Linked DNA regions of Alligator mississippiensis. The protein of the gene in region 2 purifies or fractionates together with the protein of the main gene of each other region. This does not show direct contact. Links are inferred from orthologs where the notes say so. Each region holds a gene or a part of one and is shown on either strand. Other genes may lie near its edges.

Region 1 (10,122 bases), on a different chromosome or scaffold from region 2:
AATATCTGTCACAGCCTCCTAATTTATTTATGAGAATGAAAGGCCTGTCCCTTCAAGCATAGGACTTTCACACATCAGTTATGGGCCCTGGCTTCACTACCTTGTGCTCAAGATAACACTACAGTCCATGGGGAAAGGAAATGTTTATACAAGCATAATTACCTTCAGGGGTAGTATAGGAATGAGGCTCAGACAAAATTATGGACAAGTTATACAGAAGTCTGCCAATATGAAGGATATTGTACAGTACAATAAAGTTCCTTCTATTCATATCCATCCCAAAGTAGCCAGCTGCAAGAGGCAAATGCTCCCCACTCCCCAGTAGGACAGAGCAACATATACATAGTATGCAAGCAATCCTAGGCTAGCCATTCATCTCTCCATTCCCAATTGCAGTGCAATATACATTGTAATACAAAAAAAATTGATGCACATTAGGAGTGGGCCATTTTTTCCAGATTCAAAAAGGGATCAGACAAATTCTTAGAGGAAAGGTGCATCAGTAGCCATTGAACACAGGAGTTAGGGGTACAGCTTCTGAATCAGAACTTCCTAGACCCTAAATGCTGGAGGCTGCAAGTGGGAAGGGTCACACCCTTGTCATTCTACCAGTGTCTATGAGACAGGATCCTGGGTATGACAGACCTACAATATGATCCACCAAGTGGTTGTTCTTGTACGTTCTCATTTGTCTCTCCAGGACCTAAGATGTACCAAATACTTTTCAGCTCTCTGAAGTACAGGCATGCACTTGCTTGCAGAACGATACAAAATCCTTCAGTTACAAGCAGTTTTAACAACTTTTAAATCAAAGTAAGGAACTTAATAGCTCAGTGCTTTCTCCCTGGAATTATTCTGGCCAATGAAGCCAGCAGAAGTACACACATCTTATCTTACATGAAAAAGGCAATGTGGTACTGGAAAAAAAAAATCCTTTATTTTAGTCACTGAAATGCAATGCCCCTCTTCATGCACGTCTGGCAGCACAGATGTTCACTGCTACTTCATTACAGCCGTGTAGAATGAAAGGTAGATGCACCAGGATTAGTCATCTGAAATAAATCATGCATATTTTAGTTAATCTCATATATGCATCAGGAAACCATTTCCAAGGCAATAAAATACTAGAAAAGCAACTAAAGCATGTCATTTTACTCCTACCCAGTGAGAGAGAGCTTGAAAATATTATTGGTGATACTGCAGCTTATGCAGTGTAACTAGTAGGAATTAGCACCTTACCTGTTTGCCTATAATCATCATAGGTTTCTAGTGGAGCCTCAAACTTCAGGACCACATATACAACTAAAGATGAGCTGCACTTTATCAATGGAAATATTCTGAGCCATTTTCAGAAGTACTAACTGCCTAACCCAGGGGTAGGCAATTATTTGGGCTGGAGGGCCACTTCATGAGTTTTGGCAAGTTGTTGAGGGCCACACGCACTCACTTTCCGCAGCAGAGCTGGCACATGAGCAGCAACAGGAGTCCAGGGTCTGCAGGGCTGGACTGCATCTGCCAGGTACTGTGGAGGACACTGGGCAGAAGCAGCCCCATCTCCAATCTGGCACCATGAGGCAGGTCCCAGCTGGACACCATTCAGTGCTGGGTGGTCAGGGAGGCAGTGCTGCTTCCACCCAGTGTACCTGGCAGCACTGGGGAAATAGAGCTTGGTCCCACAGACCCTGGGTAGGCAGGACAGCTTCCACCCACTGGCCCCCACCTCACCAGCAGAGGCCAGGGCCTGCCTCCCAAGACTAGACTATTTTACATAGATAAGGTTATTTCTAGAAGAGTCAGTCCAAAGACATCTGTATACTATGTAAATTACTATGGCTTTGGACCTGAATTTCAGCTTGGACTGAATGCTTGACACGATTGGATTTGAAATCAAAACCTGTGTTTTGTTTCCCAAACTCTTGCCTTGAAAATAGCAGTGAAAGACTGCAGAGCATCTCTAGGCAAAGTGTGTAAAACAAAACTAAACCACTGTGCTCAGCCATGCAGAGGCAAACATCAAATTCACTCACTAGACAATATTACTGTGTCTAAACAGCAGTTAAGACAGTCAGATGCTAAACTTTTCCAAACTAAACCAAAACTTTTCACTTGGTATACTCTGAAAAAGAGTCGTGGTCATTCTCATGACTGCTAATTTAATTCTTTGCTACTAAGCCCAAACAGGAAATATTTGTAATGTAGGTCAGCCCATGGAAAAAGTCATGGCAATATTAAAATCTTATTTTCTGATGCAGGAATAGCTAGTTTACCAAAAATAATTCTATGCTGAACACTCATCCAAGTTGCCAAGGCCTAAATGTCAAACCTTACATTCTATACTTGTTTTTCCATATAAGACTCAGATTCAGAGTTAAGATCCCTAACCTTCAGTCAGGGTCTCACATAACCACAGATCACTCTAAATCAGCGGGTCTCAAGGAAGCCCTCCCTGGACTTTCGTGAACTGAGTGGTGGCACAATTTCAGAAACTAAAATGTATGCGCTACAGTGCTTATTTCCTTGCAGAAAGGACGAGGCAGTAAGAGGAGGGGATGATCCACACAGGGACAAGCCTGAGCCTATGCTTATCTGCTCATGTCCTCACACCTTGAGGCATCCTTTAAAGCAGTGTGTTTAGGGACCTCAGCCTATGGGACGCGATCCAATAAAGTGGGTCATCCGAATATATGAACTTAAAAAAAAAAAATGGATTCTCCCTTAAAGAAAAGTATGGGAAACCCTGGCTTTTCCCTTGCAGACTGTCAGGTGTTTCAACCTGCAAGGGGATGCTCAGGGCCCCCCCCCCATACACCCCACCATGCCCCACACAATGGGTTGGGACTGGCCATCAATATTGACAAATGGATCCTGGTACAAAAAAGGTCGAGAACCACTGCTTTAAAGGATCTCATGGCACCCCAAGATGTCACAGCACCCTGGTTAAGAATCACTGCTCTACAGTCCAGGCAGATACCCCAGCTCTGTGCTTAAGAGGCTCAAATGAAGATCATGCAAAAAGATCTCTTTAAAACCTGAAAGTGAAATAAATGAGTTACCATGCTGATCAACGCAACCTCCTTGCTTCACGTTCGGATTCCAGCAGCGTTAGGACATCCCCCTCGCGGACGGGTCCTTTCACGTTCCGGATAATGGATCGGCTGGTGTCATCCATAAATTCAACACGAACCTACCAGTGACCCAACAGAAAAGTCTAAACAAGTGTACTTCACCATACCACTCACCCTCTGAAACTGCTGCTCCAGATCACTACATCCTACTCCTAACAAACCCGCTATTCATGGCAACTAGAGGTGCACTGATACAATGGTTGGCTATCGGGTCGACACCAATAAAAGAAGTGATGTTAGCGGCTATTGGCTTTTTTGGTCATTATAGCTGATATTTACGGCCGCAGGCCAGGAGCATCCCGATGAGTGTACTCCTGTCCCTGTGCCCCACCATCCGCCAGAGGCCACCGCAGCAAGCAGTGGGAGGGGGAAGGGTGTCAGGGAGTAGTCACAGAGCCCCACGCTCAGCAACAAAGTGACCAAAGGGACGGTTCCTGGGTCCTGCTGTGCACACAGCAGGGGCCCGAGCGCTGGGGTGGCCACAGATGGGTTGGATTGCACACAGGTGGGGTAAGGCACCATGCAAGGGACACTTCGCTTCTCTGGGCACCAGGTGCTGTGCGAAAGTGGCTTCTCCCTGGTGGCCGTGGCAGCTGGGCTGTGCAGGGCCCGCTGGCTGTGGCGAGGCAGCCGTGTGCTCTGGGGCTCCAAACACACCCAGCACCGCTGTCCACGCGAGGGTTGCCCTGCTCGCCAGGGACACCAGCACCGCGGGGAGCGCGGCTGCGCGTAGGAGCCGCGAGCGAGCGAGCAAGGCAGCGGCGTGCGTGCGTGGGAGCAAGGGGTCACTGCCTTCCTCGCCGAGGGCTGGAGCAGAGGAGGCGTGCGCGTGTGTATTATAAACACAAAACCAACGATAAGAGGCTTATGTCAGAAATTTAAGATGTCTTGCTGATCCAATAACCAATATTTAGAAATAGTGCATTAGTTGCCGTGGCTGGGTAATCATCGTCGGCTATCGGTATTGGCCGAGAAAGCCCGTCGGTGCGCCCCCAATGCCAGCCGTCAAGTCTCAGCGCCTCCCCTTAAAAAGTAAGGAACGGGGAAGTCAAAGTAAAATAAAACAATGGATCCCTCCAGAGAAAGGAGGTCAGGAACGGAGGAAGGAGGTCCCTCAACCACGCAGAGACGACGCAGCGCTCAGGCCCAGCCATAACGATTCAAACAAAAGCCCGGCCGCCGGGATTCAAGTGCATTTCCCGAAAGCGGCTCTGCCTGAAGGGAAACCCCGAGCGCGGGGCGGGCTTGCGGCGGCTCCTGCGGCGCGGGGAGGCCGGAGGCCCCCGCCCGCCCGCCCGCCGCCCTGCTCCCCCCGCCGGGCCGGCACCCCCGGCGCTCACCTGCGTGCACTGGCCCTGCGAGCCGGTCCGGCCCAGCACCTTGGTCACCTGCGGACACACACACGCGTCAGTGAGTGAGTGCCCCCCCCCCGGCCGCCCCGGCCCCGCACCCGCCGGCCCCGCACCCGGGCGAGCTTGATGGGCTGCACGCGACTCGTATCCATGATGGCGGCGGCAGCAATTGGGAGAGGGCGGGCGCTCCCCGCGCGCGCTTATATAGGCCGGGCCCGGCATGCACCGCGCGCCTCTCGCCCTGCACCGCGCCGGCCTCCTGCTTCCCAGCCTGCACCGCGCCCAAGATGGTGTCCGCCACCCCCATCATCCGCTGGATCCGCAACTGGCTGTTGGGGGTGAGCGGGGCGGGGCAGCGGCGGCGGCCCGGGGTGGGGGGGTCTGGGCGCGGCCCCGCCTGAGACGCTGTCCCCTTGCTTTGCAGCGGGACCTGCAGACCAAGCTCAACCTCCGCTACACGGAGATCTCCAGGAGGTGCGTCCCGCCGGGCCGGGCCGGGCCGGGGCAGCCGGCGGTGTCTTCCGCCCGCCGCCACCCCCAGCGCCCGCGGGCGGAGCCGAGACAGCCCCGTCTCGGGTTTTCTGGGCGGATGTGATGTCTTGTCAGCCCAGCTGAGTAGCAAGGTCTTGTCCAGCTTTGGGGTGCAGCTGCCCTGTCAGGCACGGGAGTCTCTGCTGGTCTGAGATCTCCAAGGGAGGAGAGATGCTGAGGTCTTGGCAGGATGTCAGGGAGGATGTAAATTGGTGGAAATTAGCAAGACAAGAGGTGACGCAGACAGGGGACGGGGAGGGGGAAGAGAGCAGGAGGGAAAACCAGCTAAAGGGAGACATTGGGTAGGTACATGGGGACGTTAGGTATGCAGGGAACAAGAGAGCAAATGGGAGTGTGGGGCCGCTGCGCAGCAACTCAAGACAGCTAGGTACCGGTACCCAGGAGAAAACTGAACTCCTGAATGATAGCTTTGCCTCTGTGTTTCAACAAGCCCCAGGGAAAATCATGCTAGATAGGGTACAGAATGAGCAGGGTAGACGTGGCCGCCTTCTTACTGTTGCCGAAGAACTGATGTGTGATCAATTAAAAAAAGTAGACATATATAAGTGAGCAGGACCGGATGAACTCCGTCTGCGGGTGCGGAAGGAGCTGGCCCAAGTCGTCGCCTGGTGAAACTGTCCCAAAACTCGTGGTGCTCCGGAGAGGTCCCTGAGGACTGGAAGAGGGCCAGTGGGTTCATTCGAGGCAGGTCCTGTCAGACCAACCTGGTGGCCTTCTACGACCAGGTCACACAATCCTTAGACACGGGTAGCAGTGGACGTAGTCTTTCTGGACTTTAGGAAGGCCTTTGACACTGTCTCTCACCCCATTCTCATTAAAAACTAGGGGACTGTGGCGTCGACACCTACACAGTCAAATGGGTCGCTAACTGGCTGGAGGGCTGCACCCAGAGTGGTGGTGGATGGGTCCTATTCAACCTGGAGGGATGTGGGCAGTGGAGTCCCCCAGGGCTCGGTCCTCAGGTCTGCACTATTCAATATCTTCCTCAGCGACTTGGACGAGGGGGTAAAAAGCACCCTGTTCAAATTTGCAGATGACACTAAGATGTGGGGGAAGTGGGCACGCTAGAAGGGAGGAATAGACTGCAATCGGACTTAGACAGGCTACAGGGAGGGGTGGGCGGACGAGAACAGGATGGGTTTCAACACTGACAAGTGCAAGGTGCTGCACGGGGGGGGGGGGAACCAGCAGCATACCTACAGGCTGGGGAAATCCCTTCTCGTCAGTGCAGAGGCAGGAAAGGATCTTGGAGTCATTATTGATGCCAAAATGAACATGGGCTGACAGTGTGGCGACACGGTCAGGAAGGCCAACCGTTCCTTGTCATGCGTCCACAGATGCATCTCAAACAGGTCCAAGGAGGTGATCCTCCCCCTCTATGCAATGCTGGTCAGGCCACAGTTGGAGTACTGCATCCAGTTCTGGGCTCTGCACTTCAGGAGGGATGTGGACAGCATGGAGAGGGTCCAGAGGAGGGCCACCCGCATGATCAGGGGTCAGCAGGGCAGACCCTATGAAGAGAGGCTACAGGACCTGAACCTGTTCAGCCTCCACAAGAGAAGGCTGACGGGGGATCTAGTGGCCGTTTAGAAACTAGTCAGAGGTAACCAGCAGGAGTTGAGGGAGTCCCTGTTCCCCCGAGCACTACCAGGAGTGACTAGAAATAATGGTCATGACTAGAAATAATGGTCACAAGCTAGCAGAGGGTAGATTCAGACTAGACATCAGGAGGCACTACTTCACTGTCAGGGCGGCTAGGACCTGGAACCAACTTCCAAGAGAAGTGGTGCTCGCTCCTACCCTGGGGGTCTTTAAGAGAAGGCTAGATGAACATCTTACCGGGGTCATTTGACCCCAGTACTCTTTCCTGCCATGGCAGGGGGTCGGACGTGATGATCTGCTCAGGTCCCTTCCAACCCTACCAACTATGAAACTAAAGAGGCTGGCAGGTTAGGCAAGTCAGAACTAAATGAAGTTCAACCTTGAGAAACGTAAAGTGCTCCACCAGGGGACGAACAATCCCTCGCACACCTGCAGGCTTGGAAACACCAATCTGACCAACACCACAGATGAAAGAGACCTGGGGGTTATAAGTGACCACAGTATGAATGTGCGGCAGTGCAACTCTGTTGTCAGCAGGACAGATAATACTCTGGCATGCATCGATTGATGAATCTCCAGCAAGACCAATGAGGTGATTCTTCCACTGTACTCGGCACCAGTGAGACCGCAGCAGCAGTACTGCATCCAGTTCTGGGCGCAGAACAAGGACGTGGTAAAACTTGAGAGTCAAGAGAAGGGCCACCTGTATGATTAGAGTCTTGCACAGCAAGCCGAACGCAAAAAGGCTGAGGGACCTGGGACTCTTCAGCCTGAAAAAGAGAAGGCTGAGAGGGGACTTGGTAGCAGTGTAATGCTACGTCAGGGGAGTACATCAGGGGCTCAATGAACAGCTGTTCACCAGGGCGCCCTTGGGGAGAACCAGGAGTAATGGCCACAAACTCCTGGAAGACCATTTCAGGCTCAAGATTGTGAAATGCTTCTTCACAGTCAGGCTGTCCAGACTGGAATAAACTCCCTCTAGAGGTCATGCAATCACCTACCCTGGATATCTTCAAGAGGAGACTCAACAGTCACCTTGCTGGGGTCACCTGACCCCACCTGTCACTTTTCCTGCCTGGTGCAGGGGGCTGGACCCAATGATCTGAGGTCCCTTCCAGCCTTACAATCTGTGAATCTTGTATTAATACCACTGTAATGTTTCCATTTGGCCTGTTTTTCCCCTGCCTCCTCTCCCCCCCACTTTACCTTGTTTCTCCTTCTTCCCTATTTATATTTTCACTACATCCTCTCACACTTGTAGTTTGTCTCATTCCTGTTTTCCTGATCTCCAACTATTTTCTTTTTAACTGATTAGCCTCTTTTCTACCTTGTATTCTATCACTGTAATGTCTCCCCTTAGCGTTTTTCCCCCTGCTCTCTTCCCCACCCTCTGCTTCACCTTTTGTCTTTCGATTTTCTACCTATTTACATTATCACTGACAATCCGGCCACACTTTTCTCTCATTGGAGTCTCAGAACAGCAGAGACTTCCTGTGCCTGAAGATGGGTGACTGCGCCCAAAAGCTTGCTAAGAACTTTTTCCAACTACTCAGCTGGTCTAATACAAGGAATCACATCTACCCAAAGAACCTTGCCTGTCTATGTCCTTAGACCAACACAGTTACAACCAGAAACTCTGTCTCTTTAGAGCATCCTAGTTCTTCCTGTGGGTGTGTTAGTGTAGCCCAGTGCCAGGCCACGAGCTCTCTCTACATATCCTTTTTTACTAATTTGCAGCTGAGCAATACTGAATCTTTTTAACACACTCCATAGACCTTGGAGCATGGGTGCTGAGAGCCCCTCTGTATTTCAGAAGTCCAGAATATCTCGCTGTGCTCTGTGAGCCTTTAGTTTCATTAAAAGGTGCTCTAAAGTCAGGTTTCTAGTTCTGAGTATTAGTAGTGATGCAGTAATAGTAAGAATCTGTTTTTTGCTTAATATCTTGTATGCTTTGAAGTTTTTTAAACTGTCTTCTTAGAACTCAGCCACCACCTCAACTTCCCTTGGGTCCCAGTCACAAATTTGCAGATAACTACTACTGTACCCGGGATGGACGCAGAGAGACCTATCCTCCAATTGTTGTTATGTCACCACAGAAAATCCTTGCATCAGGTGCTCAAGCTGGCAGGTAGGTCCTATTTATCTTATGACCTACGACCATACAAGATCTGGCTGTGACTTTGCTAGCTAAGCAGTGTCAAACTTGGTTGAAAATTAGTGTGGAGTACTACAAGGAAGCACACAGGTGCTAGTAATAGAATGCTGAATAAATGCCTCTGTGCATCTTCTCTTGAGAAATCAGCATGATTAGGGCTGGAGCTGGATTCCTTAAAACCTCTGCCTTATCAGTAGCTCTGAGCGAGTTATATGTGCGAATGGGAGGACAGCAATGGGATCTGCCTTAACTCTGCAGTGAAAACACCTCCAAAACAGCTAATATCCAAAAGAGTTAATGATTCCTGAAGCCTAGTCTCTCCTCCTTCCCAGCTCGGACTCTGCAGTAGCAACAACCGAGAAAAAGGCAGTGACACCAGGAGTTCCACTGAAGAAGTGAGAATTGTCAACGGATGAATCTTATCTGTAAACTAAACAAGTACGAAGAGAAGTCTCAATATGACGGTACTTCTCAGGATTGATTTAAAAGAAACAGTCTGCCTGAAAAGTGAGCAAAGTTAGCTTTGGTAATATTATTGAGAACTTACCTGTCTGAGAGAGTTTTGTTGGTGTCTGGTAAATAAATATTTATCTGTAATGTCTACTTTTGTTATTTTAGAGAACTCTTTCCACCTAAATGAGTTTTGGGAATGATTATTTTCCCCACCCCCCTCATTTTCCGTTAAAAAGAAAAAAAAGAGGGTCTAACTTTCTAAGCTCCACATCAGTGGGGCACCCCTTGGAAAATCCCATCTCTTAGCTTTCATTTGTTTTCTTGACTATGGAGAAATAATAAAGCAATTCTTCTGTTGCAAAGAACTCAAATACCACAACAGGTCAGAATGGTTTTGATACTGGATTCCTATTTGAAATCTCTGGATTTATTTTGTGAATCTTGTGTTGTTTTTGCACACCTAGCAGTTCTAATATTGCATGGCACCCTGTGGCACCCTCAAAAAGATCTCATGGCACCCTGCAGTGCTTCAGCACCCTGGTTGAGAATCAGTGCTCTAAGGTACACAACTTTGGCTAGAGATCTGAAGAGCTCACAAACCTAGCAGCTCCTGGAGAGAGACTCCAATACACAGTTGTTGTACAGAGTAGAATTGATGATACTTCCATGTGAGTTATTACTAAAGGAGTACTCTCCATTGCTGCTACAGGGCATGGTTTTGTAAGTGGTGCCATAGCCGGGATGGGGATTATAACTTCAAATTCCTGATCACAGATGTTGGCTATTGAGACTGTAGCAATTTCCAAGCATCTCCAGCCAAAGAGACATTTGTCCAAATTACTAGAAATAAACTCCAGCTCAAATATCACGTTAGAAATGGGCA
Region 2 (9,779 bases):
GAAACAAGCTAATCTTCAATAAGGAAATGATTATTACACTAAACTTTTTAATGCTGCAAGATTTATTCAACAAGGCCTAAACTTATTAAATAGCTGTTTTATTCAACCTATTCTGCAAAACCTAGAATTAAATCCAGTAAACAACTTGGGTACCTGGTTCCTACACTGGAACCTAGTGATCAGAACTATGCACTCGTGCTCCCTATGTAACAATAAAATGTCAGTGCTGCAGAATGGCCCTACAGGCTCAGCAAGCTGCTTAAAGGAAGCCTCAGTATCAGCCTTAGAAAACATGCAACAGGTGCAACTGAGGGCAACTTATTCTTCAAACAGCATTGTAGACACTCTTCTGTAGTTTAGGCATCGGCTGAGCTGGGAGTTACTGAACCCCCAATGTTGAGTGTGGTAGCAGATGACTGAACAAGGAGCAATGGTTTCAAGTTACAGCAAGGGAAGTTTAGGTTAGATATTAAGGAAACTCTCACAAGGAGGGTAGTAAAGCACTGAAACGGGTCACCCAGAGGTTGCGCAATCTCCAACCTTAGAGATTTTTGAGACCCAGCTAGACAAAGGCCTTGGCTGGGATGATAATTGGTCCTGCTTTGAGCAGGGAGTTGAAGTAGCTGACTTCTTGAGGTCCCTCCTAATCTTAATTTTCTATGATTCTAAGCCATTCTCAAACACCATACTGAAACACCGCTGGATCTAGAGTGACTATGATCAAGCTAATCTCATTGATCAGGGGTGTCCAACCCTTTTGAGTGTGGGGCCAGAACATGAACTTTTTATCAGCCAGTGGGCCAGCAGAAGCAGATGCTTGTGTGGCCCGTCCAGTCCAGCCATGGCCTGGGGGCGCTGCCTGACCCCATGTCCTCCCTGCCACCTGGGCAGCCTCAAGGATGCTCCCATACCACGTGCCCGGGCTCAGCAGCCAGGAAAACATGCGGGGACTCTACGGGGACATGCAGGGACACCCCCCTGCTCCCTCTCCCCTGGGGCAGCCCAAGCCCAACCAGCAGGGCTCCCTCCCTCCCCCGGGCCTGCAACTCACGACCCCCAGCGCAATGCCTGCGGGCGCAGGGGGATGTGGGAGCCGTGCCAGCTTTCCGCCCGAACAGCCACAGCAGCAGTGGCAGCAGCATCTCCTGCGGACCCGGCCACAGCATCCCTCCAAGCCGGCATCCGCGCCCCGTGAAGCCGCCTCCTGCACAGCAACCTGCTCCAGCCCGCGCAGCCAGCGGGGACCAGCACAGGGCAGGGCTGGCATGCAAATGAGGAAGGGAGGGGAGGGGCTAGGAAGGGACACCGTGAAATGAGGGGGATGGGGAAGAGCCACACCACATCAGCAACGTCTAGCTGAAGTGGGGCATGTGGGAACCCAGTCCCTTCCCCAGCCCGTCAGTAGCCATTAGGAAGCTGCTGAGAGGCTGGGCGAGGGACAAGGGGTAGAAACAAAAGTAAACAGTGTTTACTTTCATTTCCTGTCGAAGCACCTCTGGCTTCAGAAAATGGCTTGGCGGGCTGCATGGCAGCCCACAGGCCATATGTTGGACAAACCTGTCATAGATCAAGTAAATTTGTTGGGAGATGGATGCTATTTTAGGAACAAGGATATACATAATGCAGATAGTTACAAAAAAGCAAGCAGAAGCTAGATACCAGAGGAAAACTATCCTGCCTTTACCTGTATGTAACAGTACCTGCATGGATGTGTTGACAAATGAAAACACATGCATTTCACCTCATTTGCTCTCTAGAGTAGATCTGTGTATTTCAGCTGGTGGAACAGCTAGCCAGTACCAGACAAGATCTGTATCCAGGGATACTTGGCACATGGCTTCACTTGTATCCGTTACAAGATCTAATTAAAGCTATTATTTGTTTTCTGGATGACCAAGCTGTATACATTTTACGTGGGGGTATTGTAGATAGATGTGCGCATTAAACACAACAACTATATATGTAATGCAAGTCACTAGAGGTACATCAGGGGGGCTGGGCTACACCGTGCATGGGAGGAGGCTGCAGCCACCCCAAATTTCACCATAGCCCTCCCCAATGCCCATCAGTTACTGGTACTGGCCCCCAAAATCAATATCAGTGCACCCCCACAAGTTACATATAACATGCAATACAGAGAACCTCCATTTTCCTGTTGAGAGCTGAAAAGCAAACTGGTAGCCACGAACTGATAACTGTAAATTTTGAATAAGCTATTTGACTGACCTATGTAAACCCAGGAACAACATGAAGGACCTAAAAAGCCTTTTTTGCCACTTTGTTTATTCATTGGACTCAGAAACTTTTATTACAAAGCCAGCAAAATATCTGTTGGCACATTACCCAGCCACTTTTAAACACCATTTTCCCCCACCACCTGCATCCCCTACACCAATCTAGATCCTCTGGCACAAATTGACCTTTTACTCTAGCAAATATAGAACTTTTACTAGCTTGCAACTTGCTCCCTTTTCTTCCTTTTTAATGTCAACCTTCCCTTCTGATATTTTTCTGAATATAGAAAAAAGTGACAGACCCGAATGATGGTCACTTGTTAAATGCATTAACTTTTTTCTCTAGGACCTCTCTCCTTGCCACTGGATGACTGCTACAAGTTTTCTACTTGCCTCTCTCTCTCACCATTCATTTCCCAGCCACCTGAGGTACTTATTTCTTTGCTTTTTTACCGTTTTAGCCATGTCCCCATCAACACTTATCTATTCACTGCAATCCAAATTCCAGTTTTCTAAGTAGACAGGAAGTGACCTGCCCTATCCCTCTTTCTTCATCTTCTATGCTAAAAAATTTCAGGTGCAGGAGTGGGCATTAAAGGGCACCTGATGCCCAAGCTTACACAACAGCTCTCCCAAATGTATATTTGGGTCCAGAAAAAAGCATCACAGAAAAGCCTTACTCCTACAGCTCTTGCACCATCGTGGCTATAACAGTGTTCCCATTTCAGTATTTCCCCGATTTCCAACAACCATCCACTGAAATGAGGCCACTGACCCCAAAAAGCCCCAATGAAGACCTAATTCTGGGCAACCAACTGGGGCAAACCCAAGCTTGTGAAGCAGCCAGTGCAAACTTGTTCACATCTGGGCACCCATCAGCAAAGTCCAGCAACAAGCTATGGAGAATTGTTGCTGGCTTCAAGAACTGGGCTGTGGTCCCCAGATCCTGCAGCAAAAACCCTCCCCTCAGGCCCTCCCGCCCAGCCCAGCCCTACCGTCCTCAGCGACAGCTGGTGTTCGTTCTCTTCGTCGTTCACTTTGAAGTGGAAGTCCTTGTCCGCCTTCAGCTCGCAGCCTGGGGGTAGGAGAGAAGAAGACGTCACAAGCTCGTCTGGGACCACGAGCTCACCCCTTCCCCGCGCGGGGCTCGAGACCCGGCCCGGCCCGGCCCAGCCCAGCGGCGCCGCCTCTGCAGGCCACGCGCTTCGCGGGGCTTTCCCGCGCCAAAGAACCGCCCGCAGCCGCGGTAGCACCACGGCCCCCGTCCCCGGAGCCTGCGGCGATGCCAGCCCCGCCTGCCGCCGCCACGTGCGCTCGGGCAGGAGCCGCCGCCCTCGCGGCACAAAGCGCGGCCGGGCCCGGCAGGGGCTGCAGGCCCCGGCGCCGCCACGTGCTCGCGGCCGCCACGTGCGGGGGGGAGGGGGCGGCGCCTGCCGCACGAGCCCGCCGCGCCCGCCCCGCCCCCGGCCCAGCCGCGCGGATGCAGCCGCCGCCGGGCCCGACCGCGCGGGAAGCAGCCGCAGGGCCCATCGGCCCGGCCCGCCCGCGCGTTACCGAAGAGGAAGGTCTGCGGGCGCAGCGGGCCCATGCTCTCCACGTCCATGGCGCTGTCCTCCATCTTTTCGGCGGCGGCAACGGCGGCGGCGCTGCGCCCCGGACGGAATCGCACTGAGGGGGGAAGCTTGCGCGCCGCCCCGCACTTATAGCCCGGAGGTCTCGCGAGAGCGGCGCCGGGCCCCGCCCCCGCGCGACCCTCGGCGCAGGCGCCTGGCACTTCCTGCCCCCTGTCCTCCCGCCGCCAGGCCCCCGCCGGTGGCTACGTGCATCAGCCCCGCGCTCGGGCGGCCCCGGGGCGTCCGCGCGGCCTCTCCCGGGGCGGGGGCTCCCGGGACTAAGCCCGGCCTGCGTCTACGTCGCGGCCACCGGAACCCGAGACACAGGGAGCCCCGTAGAAAGGCAGCGCAGGGCGCACGTGCCGCAGCTGCCTTCCAGCTGCCCTTTTTTTTTTTAATTATTCTGAGACGATTCTCACGGCGCCACGCTCGGCCCCACCCACACCGCTGCGAGAGAAAATCGGTCTGGCACCCTGGCTTGTGCCCTGGGAGAAGAGGGGGGTTAGGACATGGGTAGGTAAGCCCCAGCACGACGCACACAGCCACGCTGCTCGGCCCACGCACCTGGGGCACAGGCAGGGGAGCTGCGAGGGCCCCGGCCCCTTGCCCACCCTCTGCCTCAAGGCCTCGAGCACCCGCTGCCAGCAACAAGCTGGGCCGGGGCTCTGCAGACCCCAGCACATCTGCTTGCAGCTTGTCCACTGCCTGCTGCAAGCAGCCCCGTGGCAGAGGCCTGCCCAGAGCCTGGGACTAGCTTGGCAGGCAGCCGGGAGGCTGCACACAGCTGCACTGGCATCCAGAGAGACCTGGCCCAGTCTGCACATGCAGTTTGGGGCAGACAGCAGGGAAGATGTCAGGGCTGAGCTGCCACAACAAAGATTGGGCCCGCTGCAGCTCCCCGGCTGTCCATCCCTGCTTGCCAACATCTTACAGGTTGCTGGTGTCTTTGGCACTCTGCCCAAAAATGTTGCCAACCTCTAGTTTAGGAGATGATGTTAAAAGGCAGAGGGGGGTTACGAAAAGGATACATGGGGATGAGTGATAGGGAAGGAGCAAGCTTTTGGAAGTCATAGGCCAGAGGGAGTAGTACCTGAGGGGACATTGGAGTAGGGAGTGTTGTAACACTAGTACCTGGTAGCCACATGGGACTTCTGGCCCTAAGATAAAATACTTTCCCAGTCTCCCCTACATATTATCTACAGGGCTGTCCATGGGGAGTGGTTAGCCCCACTCATTTCAGCACACAGCAGAGTGAGAGGAGGCTGGCACTTGAAGGGGTCTGCACCCTTTGCTCTATATGAACCAGCATTTGGATAAATCATGCTACTCTGGTGTGGTTCAGGTCTCATCCATGCCTCCCCAGTGAGCCGACATCTGAAAAACACTTCTGAGGAGGAAGCTGAAAGCATGAGGAAGACAAACATTTTTGCTAAACTTAGGTTCTGAAGCACTCACTGGAGGGAGATGGGTGAAAACACCCACTGAGATGAATGGAGCACTTCACACATTTCACAACTGTTGTTTCAACCTGTATTCATATGCATGGATTTAGTCAGTACAGAACATCCCTTTTTGTGAAGTGGCCCATTTAGCTCAATGCGAGCATCTCTGCTCTGTATGCAAGTTCTGCTCAAGTGTCAACTCAGCCCACTCTTATTTGCTACTACTTGGAGATTTTGCCTGCCTTAAAGGCATAGTTTCTCAGCCTGTGGTACATGTACCTCTGGGGATACACAAGGCACAGGCAGGGGGTACACAGGCACCAAAACCCCTGTAGTAAGGGGGCGCCACCACTCCCTCCGCTGCCACTGGGTTCGCGTCCAGCTGCTTGCTGCCCCCACCTCCCCAAGCCGGCCACAGGCACACACATACCCACGCACTCCCCACTGACTCAGCCACAGGCAGGTAAGTTTCTTTATCCTGTCTGGGCTTGGGGGGGGGGCAAACCCACACAATGCAGGGGGGAGTACAGTAGGGGCAAGGCACTTCCCCACTCTCCTGCACTGTGGGAACTGCCCCATGACCTGGCCTGCCTGGGGCCCAGTTCACTCTGCGCAGGAGGGAGCAGGCTGCCACTGTAGGCTGGGGCTAGTGGCGGCACCGGGCTCTTCCCGGCACTCAGGGCGGGCTGCGGTGATGGGGTGGCAGCAGCCCCCCTCCCAAAATTCACTGTAGCCCTCCCCAAACTGCCCTCCAGTGTCATCACTGAACACCGGGAAAGCCTAGTGCCACCATCGACTTCAGCCTGTAGCCAGCCTGGGCTCGGCAGCTGCAGCAAGCAGCTGCACCGGGCTCTGCACCTCAGAGCAGACAGCAGGGGAGGGTTGCACTGCCTCAGACCCTATCCCCAAGTCTCTGTTCTGAGGCACACACACAGTCACTGGAATGGAGCAGATGCCAGGGCTGCAGAGCCCGGTGCAGCTGTTTGCAGCCTGCCCACTGCGGCTGCCCAGAGCCCAGGCTGGCTACAGGCAGGGGTCAGGGGTGGCACTGAGCTTTTCTCTGCGCTGCCTCAGGGCCCCCCCACCGGCTGCTCTGCTCCAAGGCACACAATGGTGAAGCCCAGAGCAGCTCTTTGCAGCCTCCTGGCTGCAGCCAGCCCAGGCTCAGGGTAGCTGCTGCCAGCCACAGAGCCCAGGGTGCTTGCAACAGGACTTGCAGCCTCCCAGCTGCCTGTTTGGAACAGCCTGGGCTCCATGGCTGGCAGCAGCTGCCTCCTTGTCAGTCTCTCACCCTCTTTTCCTCTCAGAAGTATGGCAAAAAATTTGGTGTGCCGCACATTGTGTGGCGCTTTAAATTCCCTAGTAATAATTTGGTGTGTCGCACTTTGCGTGGCACTGGGCTCAGCCCTCCTAGCTTTGGCCAACATCACCTCTAGCCCAGGTACATACTTAAGTTGTGCAACCCTGGTGTAAAAGGTGGCAACCCTACCCACACCAGATCAGACATCTGTCATATCACAGCCCTTCTTCCAACATATGGCACACATTAGTCTGTAAATATAAAATCCCCTGGAAAATTGAGTGTTGGAATACTTATTTAAGAACTTTCAGAAGTTAAGGGGTAGTTGCTACTCAAAAGGTTGAGAAACACTGCCTTAAGGAACTGAAAGTTAGCCTACTCCACAGAAAGAACACTACATCTGTTAAGATTTACCCTAATGTACATAAACCCACTTAGCCTAACGTGCATAATGCTACCCAACATTATACTCTCGCTTTTCTGTCATTAAATCGTACTCCTACCTAACTTCTGATGATCACCTGGACAAAACAAACTTGTGCCTTTTTACCAACACAACCTGCACAGTGCAATGCTGGAGTGAGGTATACTGGAACTTTCAGAAAGCCTTCTGGATACTTGACTACTAAACAAATCCCCCCCCAGCTCTTATCTAGTCTAAACAATCCTAGTTTTTTCAGCCTTTTCTCATAAGTCATGTTTTTCAGGCCTCTAATAATTTTTGTTGCTCTCTGCTGGACTTTCCAATCTGTCCACTTCTGTCTTGGAAGTGTGGGACCAAGAACTGGACACAATATGCCAGATGAAGCCTCACCAGTGCTGAATGTAGTGGAACAATCTCTTCCCTGAATTTGCAAGAAACACTCCTGTCAATACAACCCAGTATATTGTTGGCTTTTTTGCAGAGAGATCACATTCATTCACAATTTACGGTTTATTGCAACTCCCACCCCCAAGGTCCTTCTCCCATATATTCCCCAAGTCCATATTTGTTCATGTAATTATTCCACCACACATGCAAGACTTTAAATTGAATTTTGTTTAATTAATCATGGACCACTTCTATTTATCCTGATCATTCTGAACCCTAGCTCTACCATCCAGTGCATCTGCAGCTCCACCCAACTTGGTTTCATCTGCAAAATTTGCTAAACTTGCACTCAGTCCCATTCTCCAAATTGAGAATTTCCTTTTTATTGCTTTTTACATTCCTTGCCTGTTGCATCTCATTAATATATTTCCCTAAAAAGGTAGCATCCTGGGAATAGGAGGTACTCATCTTCCCCTCTGGCTTCTTGGTTCCACAAGTGAGATTTAAGAAAAAGTACAAGAAGTGTAATTTAATCTCCCCACTCCTTTCTTACCAGTTTTGATCAACAGTAAAATAACTGACAACAGCCACATTTGCATGACATTTCATCATTGGCATCCACATTAACACCCTGCCAAGATGAATGAATATAGGTTGTTCACAACTCTTAGAACTAAGTTTTTTAAGCTCACATAGCTACATCACAAAATCTAAACCAGATATTAATCTAAGGGCTAATCTAAACCAAAAGGTACCACCAGGGTAGCTACCTTGGCAGTCATCATAGCAAAACTCCTGAGCTGAGACACAACTTATGCTGACAGAAGGTATTCTGTCACCACCATTAAAATATCCCTTTTGTTGTTTATGGTGTTACCAACAAAAAGATTTTTTTGACACTGCATGTTCGGTCTTTCTAAGGCAGGTGGGGAAGGGGTGTTGCCAGTATAGCCAAGGCCTAGTCTATACAATACTGTTCAGTCACCAGAACTCTGGTGGGAAACTTTGAAGGCTTCTCTGCCAACAGAATTACATCACCTTTGCCCTGTGAAAGAAGGATTCTGCCATCACTGAGAAGCTGGCAGAAGGTAAATGTAGACACTCCTGCACCTACTACTGGCTTTGGTAGTCCCTTCAGCAGTCAGTACCTTTCCAGGCTGCACTCTATCCTGCTGATATATTTGCTGCTGTGGAACCCTCCCAAGCACTGGGATGCACATATGCTCTGGCAGCTAGGTGATAACAGCTGCTGTCTAGTGCCAGAATTTCTGGTAGCACAGCAAGGTAAATATAAAGAAAGTCCATGTGAGAAAGTGAGAAACCCAATCACACTCCCACCCAACAAAACTACTAGCAAAACTTTGTACTATAAAGCTGGGCTGTTATCTTCAGATTGATCTACATTTAAGTTCCCCTATCACTGCAGCTGTTTTGCTTAGGCATGTAATAAGCCAAACACTTAGTGAGAGCCCTTGCATAGATGCAACTAGACTAGTATAGAAAGGTGCTTAATACCAATCTAACTGACTTTGGATCCATAAGTATTACAGTGAGTCATTATAATGGTAATTTATTAATCACTGTTCATTTCAAGTAAAGAATACAGATATAACTATATACTGGAACAACTACATCCATTTTACCTAGTTTCATAATTAACTTAGCCAAACTTTTTAGTGTAAACAAAAGGTTTACATTACAGAGGGCCAAGCCCTTTTCCTGTTAGATTTGATTCCGGAGTTCAAAATAGCCATTAAAAAAAATACCAGCAACAAACAGCTCAATTTACACCTATGGAAGATCTCTCAGGATTTTATTCACCCCATTTCCTTATCATGAGACAAGAGGTAGCAAATATTTTTTGCAATGCTTTACTAACACTTAAATGTTGTCAGACTAAGGCCTTGCCTACAACTGTGTCTACATTTAAGGCCTTGCCTACAACATAAAGCATCTCAGAATCATGTAAAATTAGGGTCAGAAAGGACGTCAAGTGGTCATCTAGTCCAACACTCTGCTCAAAGCAGGATGATTCCCAACTGTCATCCCAGTCAAGGCTTTGTCTACCTGAGTCTAAAAAACCTCCAAGAAAGATTCCACCACCTCTCTGGGTAACCTGTTCTAGTGCTTTACTATCCTCTTCATGAGAAAGTTTTTCCTAATATCTACCCTAAACTTTCCTCGCTGCAACTTGAGACCATTGCTCTTCATTCTGTCATCTGCCTCCAGTGAGACCAGTTTAGCTCAGGGGTGACCAATAGGACTGTGCAAAGCTTCGGTTGCTGATTTGATTTAAAGGAGATTCAGCCTGATTGGGTGGCTGAATCTCTGACTCAAAAATCGGGAGACCGATAAAAAGGTTTGAATTGATTGGAAGCC

What was found. The genes of interacting proteins can lie anywhere in the genome.
Region 1: the proteins of NPM1 (region 2) and RPS28 purify together in Homo sapiens (affinity purification with mass spectrometry; 3 studies listed by BioGRID and IntAct, with this or other methods). This does not show direct contact. The link is inferred for Alligator mississippiensis from reciprocal best matches to the Homo sapiens genes NPM1 and RPS28.

What each region holds. Positions count from the first base shown.
Region 1 is NC_081839.1:9,769,980-9,780,101, reverse strand, and holds RPS28 (small ribosomal subunit protein eS28), read right to left. Parts: upstream 4,693-10,122; 5' UTR 4,630-4,692; coding exon 4,591-4,629; intron 4,514-4,590; coding exon 4,466-4,513; intron 3,185-4,465; coding exon 3,062-3,184; 3' UTR 3,054-3,061; intron 1,053-3,053; 3' UTR 916-1,052; downstream 1-915. Other genes in the region: NDUFA7 (NADH dehydrogenase [ubiquinone] 1 alpha subcomplex subunit 7), read left to right, coding at 4,765-4,815, 4,902-4,951, 8,610-8,759, 9,119-9,185. UniProt on the Homo sapiens protein: Component of the small ribosomal subunit. The ribosome is a large ribonucleoprotein complex responsible for the synthesis of proteins in the cell. Part of the small subunit (SSU) processome, first precursor of the small eukaryotic ribosomal subunit.
Region 2 is NC_081832.1:47,797,355-47,807,133, forward strand, and holds the start of NPM1 (nucleophosmin), read right to left. Parts: upstream 3,913-9,779; 5' UTR 3,853-3,912; coding exon 3,789-3,852; intron 3,310-3,788; coding exon 3,230-3,309; intron 1-3,229. UniProt on the Homo sapiens protein: Involved in diverse cellular processes such as ribosome biogenesis, centrosome duplication, protein chaperoning, histone assembly, cell proliferation, and regulation of tumor suppressors p53/TP53 and ARF.